Linked DNA regions of Drosophila melanogaster. Changing the gene in region 2 together with the main gene of any one other region gives a genetic interaction. Each region holds a gene or a part of one and is shown on either strand. Other genes may lie near its edges.

Region 1 (5,642 bases), on a different chromosome or scaffold from region 2:
TTGGCATCTAAACGATATGAACCACCCTCTCCCAATTGCGAAACGCTAAGGAATTTGACCAAACTGGCACCTATTTCTTTGTCAGTCTGCTTCTAATTCTGGCCCCACCGACATATTGCTATCTCTATCGCTGCAATTCCCAATTTCTTTGGATATACATATATCACTCTCTCTTTTTCAGCGGCTGTTGAACTTTAAAATTGATCCGATTTTATTCGCATCTTCCATGAATTTCGCCTCACTTGAGAATGTATTAAATTTAGAAGCAGACGAGCCAGATTAGAATGAGGAAGAGAAGAAGAAGAAGACGAGCAGGGGGCCAACAAAAAGCGTTGGGGGGGCGGGGGGGCGGTGGTTGTTGGTCTGAAAGGCGGGACAGACGCTTCATTCATGCCACGCGCATCTTGCGCTGTCGACATTTAAAATAGACGCCAAACACGCAACCTCGGCGTTCAACTACAGAGAAGCCTCCGCAATCATTGCCGCTTACATTCTGAACAATTTATAATCGCACTTGTGGAGCATTCCCTGTACTTTGTACAATGTTGCAATGGAGTTGGCATAAAGAAAACTTGGGAATTTATCATCGGATATATGAATGAAAGACACAGACACAGGAACTGTGGCGGAGTGCTAGCTAAGTTATTGGTTTTTAATTGATCTTGGTTGCTTAGAAGAATCTCGACTATTGTAGAGAAGAGATCTTAAATAGGAATAGTATAGGAATAATATCCTCATTCTATCCTCTTATCAATATCAATATAATCAATATATTGAGTTCGTTACGGAACTATAGCAAGGTAACATTTTTCGAGGACCCGTTTCAATATCCTGACAGAAAAGGATACTTACACTTTCAATGGGACGCAAGTGCACTGCTTATTCTCGAGATTTGGATAGGATGTCTGTTGAAATTGCTTGAGATAAAGGTGCCTGATTCTTGCTCCAGAGATCTCAGTCCTTTGCAGGCTCTTGATTCAATTAAGTTGCCAATTGTGTGGGTTCAACATCAAGATTTCAGGCTTTAGAATTGGAAAGTGAGGTCGGTGAATTTTTCTCGAGAGGATCGATATTCTCTGGGCTACAATATTCCAATTGATCGGAATTCTCCAGATTATAAATATCTCTACCTAGTACGTAGTTTAAACAAAATTGTCTGGTCTTTCGCCTTTCCTTTGGCCTTTCTTAGATTCCTTTTTTTTTGGCTTTAATATGGGTGTGTTGCCTGTTGTTTTCCGGTGTCTTGTCTTGTTATGGACTGTGTGAGTGTATATTTTTGATTTTGGGTAAATTTTTGATTTTTTTTTTATATTGAGCGAGAAAAAATTTGAAACTGAATAGTGGGAAAAGTGAAATTTGTATGGGGCTTTTAGACATTTGCGATTGACAGCAAAGCCAATGGTGTGTGTGATTTGGGATATTCAATAATGGGTTATATTTGCAATACTACAATACTTTCTACATAACCTATTACCGTCCATAGCCTAAAGCATTAAAAGAAAATTATAGTTAATCCCTAAGAAATCTAGTTTTTATGCAATCTATAGCTAGTTTTCAAATGCCATAAGAATTACTTGGAATCAAAATCTAGCATCCTTAATGAGTTCGCAATTGATTTTTCCATTGATTGATTTAGACAGGAAGTAACATTTTCTTTTTGGGCTTGTTTTCGCTGTCGTTGTGGATTTTATTTTATTGGGTTTCGTTATTGATTTTTGTGTAGGTGACAACTCTGTGTGTGGGTTGCCGTGGGTGGGCGTTGGATTGTGTGGGTGCGAGCGAGACGGCAGCAGATGCGTGAGTGAGTGCGTACAAAGCAAGGCTGGAAAAACACTCCCTCCTATTCCCACTCCCTTACTCTCTCTCTCCCTCACCTTCTCTCTCTATGGCTTGGTTGGTATCTCCTTTCTCTTTCTTACACTTACACTTTGGTGTATTTGGTAAACCTCAAGAATTCTCGTCGAATTTTTGTTTGTTATTTTATGATGATTTTTCACTTTTCTTTGCGCTTTTCCTTTGGCTTTTCACTGGTTTTTATCTTTTTTTTTCTTTTTTTTTGTGCTTTGTCACTTTTTGCTCATACAAGAAAAAACAACAAAAATCACAAATGGCGGCGCCGTTTGAATCCGTATCCGTATCTGAATCTGAATCTGAATCTGAATCCAAAACACTAATATCTCGATAGCTGTTCGGCGTGAGCTATTGACTATTAACTATTTAACTGCGAACTGTGAGCTGAGAGTCGAGAGTCGAACGAACTGACGCAACGGCGACGAGTGAACTGCCTGCCTGCCGGATATACGGATCCCAATTTCCAAGGTGTCTGCTCAGCGCCCGATGAAAATGCGAGGAAAACTCTGTTCAGCTCTGCTCTGCTCTCAGGACCTCTGCCGCGGCGCTGTAGCAGCGGCGTTGGCGTTGGCGTCGCATTTTCCCACCCATCCAAAACAGTGAAAGTTGTAAACCAAAATGGCTGACCCTGCTCCTTGGCATATTTGTATCTGTATCTGTGTCTGTACTCGTATCTGTATCTGTGTGCAAGCGTCTATACACATTATCCGCTTTAAAGGGCAGCAGCCGGCTTACACCACACTCACTCTAAAAAGTCGGCGACCACTATAAATGATCTAAGGTTAAGAAATCGAATAAGCTAACTATTAATTTATGCCAGTATACATTGCCAAATGTATTATTAAGTTACTATAGGTAATCAAAATATATTTAACATACATTTTAGGCCTTGCTTAGATACGTTACATATTTATATAGCTAACTTCTAATTTCATTTCTATTCCGATTTAATGATCGATGATTTCTGTTGATCTGTTCTATTTCATCTGGTGATCACTGTGCCAGCTGTTGGACCTGTACTTTGCACTGCTGGTCGCCCTATGCAAAAGGTTTTCCCGACCCAAAAAGGAAAAACATCGAAAAACGCAACGGATAAACGAATATTTTCCATCTGATTGGCTTGGACCGGCTAGCTGTTGGCAGCGCTGTCGACGCTGACGCTGACGTTGACGTCGACGCAGCTGCGACGGGGGTGAGTGTGAAATGTGAAAAGCGAAAACTCATAGTACCAAGCGGAAAACTCGGGGAAAAACTCTGAAAACAAGGGTGGCCCGAGCAGAGACGCCAGCGTTTTTCCCGCTCTCTCTTCGCTCATCGCTCTTCTCTCCACTTTTCTCTCTTCTCCGCTCCTCTTCGCTCTCCTTTGCGCCCTTTTATCGCCCCGTCTGTTTTGTCTACTGGCTCGTGAAAATGTCAGGAAAATTCAAACTGCCACAGCTGCTTGACAAAAGGCAAGACTATAATTTTAAGACATGAGGAAAACAAGAGAACGGAAAATGTCTTTCGGGGAAATTGTGAATTCGATTCCACTCACGATTGCCACTTGTGAGCCAAGTTATTGGCATTTGTAAATTGCGATTATGCATAGATATCAATAAAGCTATTATTTTGGCTTATAATAGAATTATATAAATTATTTTCTTTTCCCAATCCCATTGTTTAGATTGCATATATTAATTGTGGCACTTTTCGACTCCAGAAAGTATGCAATGCATTTTACGACTTGCGTTGCGGCTTCTTTGTTACTATGGCCTTTATAATCATAAGTTTGTTTTCGAACGACGAGTTAGAGAGTGTAGTATTCAATTGTTATGATAGTGTTATGAAAGATACATTTCTATAAACAGTACTTGATACCTCAACGGGATTTTCCAACTAGATTGGACGCAATGAGGTTAACACGAGGGAAGTGAGCTGCGAATAGCGATTCCGGGGACTTGGAAAAGTCTGCAGCTCACAATCGTGTTTCGATCTAAGACTGTGCCTTCTCCATCTCTGTTTCCCTCACTCCTGCCATCTCCCTCTCTCGCTGACCTTGCTGCCAACGAAATTTCTACTTCCTGCTCTCCTACATTTTCCCGTTCCTCTTTTTTGTCGATGCTTCCTTCCTTCGTTCAGCTAAATCTGATGCGCACCCCAGAGCAGCAACAAACATAAAATATATATAAGTATGTACATATATATCCGACTGTTACCAACCCAACTCAGCCCACACACACACACACACACACACACAGAGAGTCTACACCCATACCATATCGCACGCACACACTAAGCGATTGCGTCCCGTTTTCGAATTTCGAGCGAAACTTGCGTAGTTTTTCAACCCCAAAATACGGGACAAGGACAAGGTCGAGGATGTGGCCCTACGCCCCTGGACATGGGTGCACAATGGCAGTGGTTCCAGGCCCATGCCCATGCACTTTCCATCCAAGATCTCAATGCTGAGCTGCAACTTTAAGCTTAAACTAGAAGATTACGGAGTGCAGAAGTAAGGCGAACGAACTGTTAAGTTCTTTAACTTCAAGCCATATTTGTTAAGATACAACAATCATTTAGATAGATCTTTCAAGGATATACATCTTTCTACCTCTGACTATCTATATTAGCATATACTTAGGGATCTATTTTGTAGTACCATTGTATAGATATAGCTCTGATGGCAGACTTGAAGAATTCTTTCAATGCATTGATGGAATACTTTAGTTGTCCCGTACATTTCTAGGAGGCTGTTGAACCCCTGAAAATCTCATAATTTGCTTGCCACCACCACCATCGCTGTTGCTGAATGTGCGCTGTGTGGTTGCGATGCGTTGCTGCGTTCCTGCGTCTGTCAGGAATGTTTACAGCCGGCTGGCTGTGAGTTCTGAACTCTCAGTCTGGGCTCTAGCCCTAGCCTAGTCCAAAAAAAAGGGACGAGGATACGAGCTGGGAGGGTTTAACGCTAATGGTAAAGGGAAAGGCGCAGGGAAAGGGAATGGAAATGGGAAAGGAAGAGCCACCACCCACCCCCAGCGGCAACTGCGACGCATTTTTGTGTGTGCGTCCTGTGCGTTGCCATGCTGCGATTTTCCATTTCGATTTGGGATGGTTGGGATCGCATTGGCTTGGATTCTATGGTATTTAGTGCACAGTAAATGAAAATGGTCGAGTGTCGCGACTATTAGATACCTTCTAAGCAGGAAATGAAGCGATTTTGAGATGGGGCTAAACAAGCAGATCATCATTCTCTTTTTTAATACTTTTCGAATGTTTCTAAGAAACCCAATTTTCATTTGTAATATAATCACAAACATCATTTAAAATTACATTCAATTATTTTCGCGAGTGCGTTGGCACGGGAATGGTTTGGCATGGAAGGGGTTGGGGGAGAGAACGTTCCAGTCCGCTGTCTTCCAGCTTTTGGGTGGTGGTGTCCCGTTACGCGCTTGCCACTCTTGCCATCTCTGTTGCACCCACGCCACACGTCGAGGATCGAATTTGGCTGCGTTCCGTTGACTTCGCCCCTTGCTTTATTTACTTTTTTATTATTATTATTTCATTAGATTGCAACCCTTGTGTGTCTCTCTATTCTGGCATCACCCCCCCCCCCCCCCTTCCACCCCTCTCCACACATTGTCCCGTCGTGGGACAAGGACGAACGCCAGTGGAAGGTGGCTGGGTGCTGCGTGCTGCGTGGTGGGGGTTGGTTGAAAGTTGAAAGTCAGTGCGTACTTTGAAATCTTAACGGAACTTGCTTGTTTATTGCGTCCAACGCAAATTTTGCCTGGCGCTGACGTCATCGCAATTGA
Region 2 (5,661 bases):
TTGGTTCCTTCTGGGAATGGATTTTTGTGAGCCTTATTTATGACCAAAAGGTGTTGCAACTGCAACATAATGTCGCTAATGCTTGTCCCATTCCGACACACCCGCATTCGATTATTTATGTTTTTAGAGTCACACATTTACGGGACTTCCTTAAATAATAAAAGAATCGTTAAATGTTTATTGGCAAATCTTACAACTACTGAATTGTATCAGTGAACATTTCTGAACTAATATCTATTAGAACATGGCTATTAACAAATTGAATCCAAATACCCACTCACCTTGCCTTGATAACCATACGTGCCTAAGCTAAAATATCCACCCATATCTTGGATTTATTCCTCATACCTGTTCAAACTAAAGTATTATCACCGCGCGGGTCTAATCAAATAGTCAGATAAACCTCGACGGGTTCTCGGTTTAGAGCATGCTTCGGTGGTAATCCAATCCAATCAGGACCTGAACTACCGTCTGCCAGTCAATCAGGAAGGACTCGATAAGCAGCCGTCGCTACGTTTATCACCTGCACTCCACGGTCCTCTGGTGTCCTTTGGTATCCTTTAGGGACTCAGGACGCATGCGCCGCCATCAGTTCGGCAAAATGCTGGAAAAGGATTGCAGAAATGTAAACGTGAAGCGATGTCGGTGTCAGCTAATTAAATATTTGCATTGGCAAAAGGTGCAAAACGCCGAGCGATATGGATTGAAATTGATGGAATGCTATTAATGGGGGCGGGTTAGAAGGAAGTCCCCGAAAAGGAAAGTGTATGACAAATCGGTTCCCTGTTTGCACATGCCAAAGGTGTTTTCTCCGAGAATTCGATATTGCTATTGTTGTGATTTCTGTTTTTCGAGAGGGTTGGCGGAAATTGTCACAAAATATGAACAGGGGCAGACCCCAAAATGCGGATGTTTGGTTTCCTGTTAATTATTGTACATTTTGAAGGCACATAGAAACTGTAGAAGGAAAGATTACATTTTTTTAATGCGTTTCGATGAATGCTGTTACTACCTAAAATGTTTTCTATAACTTTTGGTTACAAATTTTTAAATTTTTTTATTCACATCTGTCTGTATTTGAGCCCAAATATTAGTGATAGAATTTAAATTGAATATTTCTATACAGTTTCCTTCTGTGAGAATTTCTTTCAAAATTGTTAAAAATAATAAAGACCATATAAATTTCTTTTCGTGAGTTTTATTTTATAAAAATATTTAATTCTTCTCTTTAAGCTAGGAATAATCTTAACAACAGTTGGCTTAACAGTACTGAGAATACATAAATAAGGGTATATTATAATTAAATGAATAGATTTGGTAAAATGCTGCGTGTGACAATGAGGCAATATACATGAACTTAAACTTAGAATACTATAGCTGAAATAAATATAGTAATAGTAGCACCAAAACCGAATCGACTTAGTACAAACTTATAATAGGTATTGTCTGTTTGTTTGGTCTTCGCCAGCGGAATGTGAGTTTGCTTAGGTAATTGTGTCCTGCTAAGGGATTCATATGTCGAGAATCCTACGCAATAGTGATGGTGCAGTTGGAGCTGGAGTGCTTGTTCAGGAGCGACATCCTGGAGAAAGATTTGTGGCACACCTGGCAGGCGTACTTCTTGACGTCCACGTGGGTCTGCTGATGAGCTCGCAGGTTCGAGCGGTCGGCAAAGGATCGTGGGCAGTCGGGGCACTGGAAAGGCTTCTCTCCAGTGTGGGTGCGGATGTGTCCCTGGAGCAGCCAGGGTCGAGAGAAGGCCTTGCCGCAAATGGGGCACTTGCAGGGCAGAGTGTGGGTGCGGATGTGCATCTTCAGGGCTCCAATGGTGGTGTACAGCTTTCCACACTCCTCGCAGGAGTGGGTCTTCTTCTCCTGATTACACTCGGCTGCCGGGCAGTGGAACTGACGGTGCTTGGACAGGCCCATCGAGGTGGAGTACATCTTCTGGCACTCGTCGCACTTGAAGCGGTAGTTTTTGGCATGATTGGCGGCAACACTCGCCGACGAGGCACTCATGGCCGGAGTGTAGGAGTATCCCGATGAGCTGCTTACACTGGCACCGCTGCTGCTGGACTTGGCCTCATCGAAAAGGTGGAACAGAGCCGGCAGTGGGATGTCATTTCGCACTGAAAGATCCTCTGGCTCGGAACCGGTTTCCAGATCGGATCCGGGGCTGGAGGGCGGCGTCATCTGCTGGTAGCTGTAGACCGACTGGGGCGAGGCCATCGAGCTGGCTGGCGAGGGGAAGGCGGCCAGATGGGGCTGATAGCTGCTCCACAGGGCAGAGATCGGATTGCAACCGGCGGCCATCACAAAGGCGGACTGGAAGGGATTAATCGTGGTGGGGGTGGCGGTGGTATATCCCGTTGTTCCTGCCGTTAGTCCACGCATATGGATTTCGGTGGGCAGGTAATCCTGGGCCTCCACTGGCGGCGACAGCAGGCAGGAGTTGGAGCTAGAGCTGGAGTTCCTTTCCGGTGTTTTTGAAAGGTTCAGCACATAGTCACGTTTCGGTTCCGGCTGCTGATAATCCTGGGTCTCCTCGTCGCGACCCCGTTTCAGGGATAGATCCTGCGGCTGATCCTGGGCAAACTGTGAGTCCTTGGTCAGGGCCAAGGCCTCCGTTTGTGGCAGACGCTCCTCCACGAAGACAATGGGGCGCTTCTTTAGCGGGCAGCTTTTGTAGTTGGCGGCCATTTTTGATGTGTGTGTGATTAAGTTTTAGTTTCCGGTACTGATCGAGATGGGTAAATCGGGAGATCGGCGATCGAGAGGCGAGTTATATAGTTCGGGATCGAGTATAGAGCGGTGGTTGCGTTCTCAACGAGAGCTGAGGTGGCTGTGACAGGTCAACAGTCGAGCACGCTCTTTTATACCCGGAACTCTGCGCCTCTGCCGACGCCGCTGTCGCCATTTGGTGGTGGTTCTTCTTCAAAACAGAAAAACACTCGCACGTGTGCGTCGCTACCTAGCAACAACAACAGCACTTTTCCCATACCCTTATTGCGTATTTCCCTCACTTCCCTCTACCTGCTCTCTCACTCTCTCTCTCTCTCTCTTCCTCCATTTCCCACCTCTCTCTCGGAAGAGCAGACGCAGGCGCACCCTCCCAGGAATAAGGATCCCCCGTATAAGTTATGACAGATCTGGTGGCTCTCCAATTTCCCGATACGCTCACAACCCACCCGTAATAACTCGTGCAGGTCCGGGTCCGAAATGCAAGTTACAATATCGCCTCCCTACCTATGGATCACCCTAAGTAATTTTCTATTTTTAAGCACGAGTCAAATAGGACTCCTAGTACTCTTCGTTCATGGGGTGGTTTCCTCACTTAGATTGAGTGCTTCAAGTACATCTGCCGATGCTCTAAATTCGGTTTTTGGTGGGGAGTTGAACCTGAGCGATACGCACTGACAAAAATGACACCTTCGCAGAGAGGTGTTCCAAAAATAGCACTGATAATGAGCCGAATTCCGAGACACCAAGTGTCAACTCTGGGGTGCACTCTACGCTGACTTATGGATCATCTCCAGTGGCTCATTGGCAGCGATCGATGAGAGCTAGGAAAACATAGCTCAGGGCATAGGAGATGTCATTAAAAACTTGACAAGGAATAGACGAAGAGTGTCAAGTCTCCTGTGAGCTTGGATCGAAGAGATCTCCTGTTCCCACGATTGGTCCGTGAAAGAATGACGATTCGAATACGAGTTACACATTTTAACTAATCCCATGGTCATCTTATTAGTATGTGAAGTTCTGCTGTCTTAAAATCAATTCGATTGATAACGTAAAAAAAATCATACTGCCCCTCAGCATCCAGCTGAGTCCTGGACGATTCCCACAATTCTCGCTTTCCAACTCCCCTGATCTTTGACTCCTTGCCTCATCGCGCACACACAACTTTCCCAGCTAGCACCTCCAGACTTTCAAGCCACCCCTCCAACTATCGATGGGAAACTTTCCCAACTCCCACTCCCGCATGGAGGCTGACATGCAGACTTTGTACCCGGAAAAACAGACAAGCCCGCATAGCCAAGTCCGATTTTCCGCGTCGTCAAAAAAAAAAAACCAGGCGCGGTGGTAAAATTGGAAAAAATCCATAGCAAACCCAAAAGTTTTGATAAACCCAAGAGGTGACAAAAAATTCCAGCGCGGAATTCCAATTCCCCGCGATCCTGCAACCAATGGCGTGAGGGAAGATGGGAAATGTCGAGCCAATAACCCAGCCGCATTTCCATTTCGTATTTCCCTGCAATGGATTTTCCTTCGACGAATGTCCGGATGTGGATCAGCGAAGGATTTAAAGTAATTTCCCATCTTATCCAATTACGCAGTCAGCGAAACTCAAGCAAAACAAGCCACGACGAGTGGAAAAACTGGCTGGGGGTTTTCTATATGTCCTCACATCCTACCTGGTGGGTCATCCCGGATATCTCGGTTATTACGTGTGTTATTCCGCGCAATGATCGCCATGTCACATCCATGCACATATCTACCTAATGATCACTACGATGAAGTCCTCGGCCGCGGAATTGCCCGATGAGCACCGCGGATAACCCGGCCAAGTCCTCATTGATGTCGCGGGAAAATCCGCACTTGTCGAACCCATATATCCGTTGAAGTACCTGACTTGCAAAAATTCCTGGTCGGGTTGGCCCGCTCATTAGTATTAGGTAGATTGGCGGCCAGTGTTTTCCGCTTCATTCATTACTTCATTATTTTGGGGAAAACCCTTTCGGGGGTTAAATACTTTTTCCCCGACTCGCTCGGGATTTCTGCAGGTGCTGGGATGAAGTTCGATTTTCCATAGACATTGTTGTTGTTCTTGTCAATTTTTGCTGAGAATAGGACCGTCCCATTTTTGCACCTTGTTCCCTGGCTCATTTGTTCAAGTTGACAATGAAGAGGGAACACAGGGATCTACAGAGCTCGACTGACATTGTTCGAAGAGGAGCCATGCGAAATAGTAAATCCGAGTCACAAAACAGAACTAGGTCGACAACCAGTGCAAAAAGGAGACATTATGAACGATGATCGAAATGTATTTTAAGAACAACACATTGAACTTTGTAATTTTATTCATAATTAATGTTACGGAGCTTGTAAAAAATGTTTTTCGTTTTGTTCTTCTTATTAAATATTCGCATAAAACACTCAGAAAAATCATATCACATTTTCGCCCAAGGATAACTGTAACTGTTTTTTCAGCTTCCTAGACTGTGTTTCTCTAACCAAAACCCCCACTCCTTCACAGGCCATCACAGCCTAACAGTATATCCAGGTCACCTGGCCTGGTGAACCTTTTGCAAAAACGAAGATATAAAGAGGAGAGAGAAAAAGAAAGGAACGAACATTAGGGATACCACCAAGGAAAACAAACTATGGCCCAAGATATACGATGTGTGATGTCGTTGACAATGAATTGTTGATTACTATACTACCCCCAGGTCAGGCTCTCCTTTTTTTGGCACGGAACAAAGGAGCTGCGATCCATAAATCGAAGATCGGAGAAGCAGGGAAAATCACTGCCACGGGCTGTATGTGTGTGCATGTGGACCGGGTGCATTGCACAATCAATAGGTAGGTTCGCGGCACAATGGCCAAATACAGTGGAGTAAATGTTTTGAAAAGCCAGCGAAAGGAATTGCTTCTCGGAAT

The links.
Region 1: of sna (region 2) and Imp, changing one enhances a phenotype caused by changing the other (phenotypic enhancement), as found in Drosophila melanogaster (one study listed by BioGRID).

The regions. Positions count from the first base shown.
Region 1 is NC_004354.4:10,820,467-10,826,108, forward strand, and holds the start of Imp (IGF-II mRNA-binding protein), read right to left. Parts: upstream 3,812-5,642; 5' UTR 3,709-3,811; intron 2,321-3,708; exon of another isoform or gene 1,926-2,320; intron 1,352-1,925; exon of another isoform or gene 853-1,351; intron 1-852.
Region 2 is NT_033779.5:15,475,408-15,481,068, forward strand, and holds sna (snail), read right to left. Parts: upstream 2,854-5,661; 5' UTR 2,701-2,853; coding exon 1,528-2,700; 3' UTR 1,186-1,527; downstream 1-1,185. UniProt on the Drosophila melanogaster protein: Essential for the correct specification of ventral-dorsal patterns.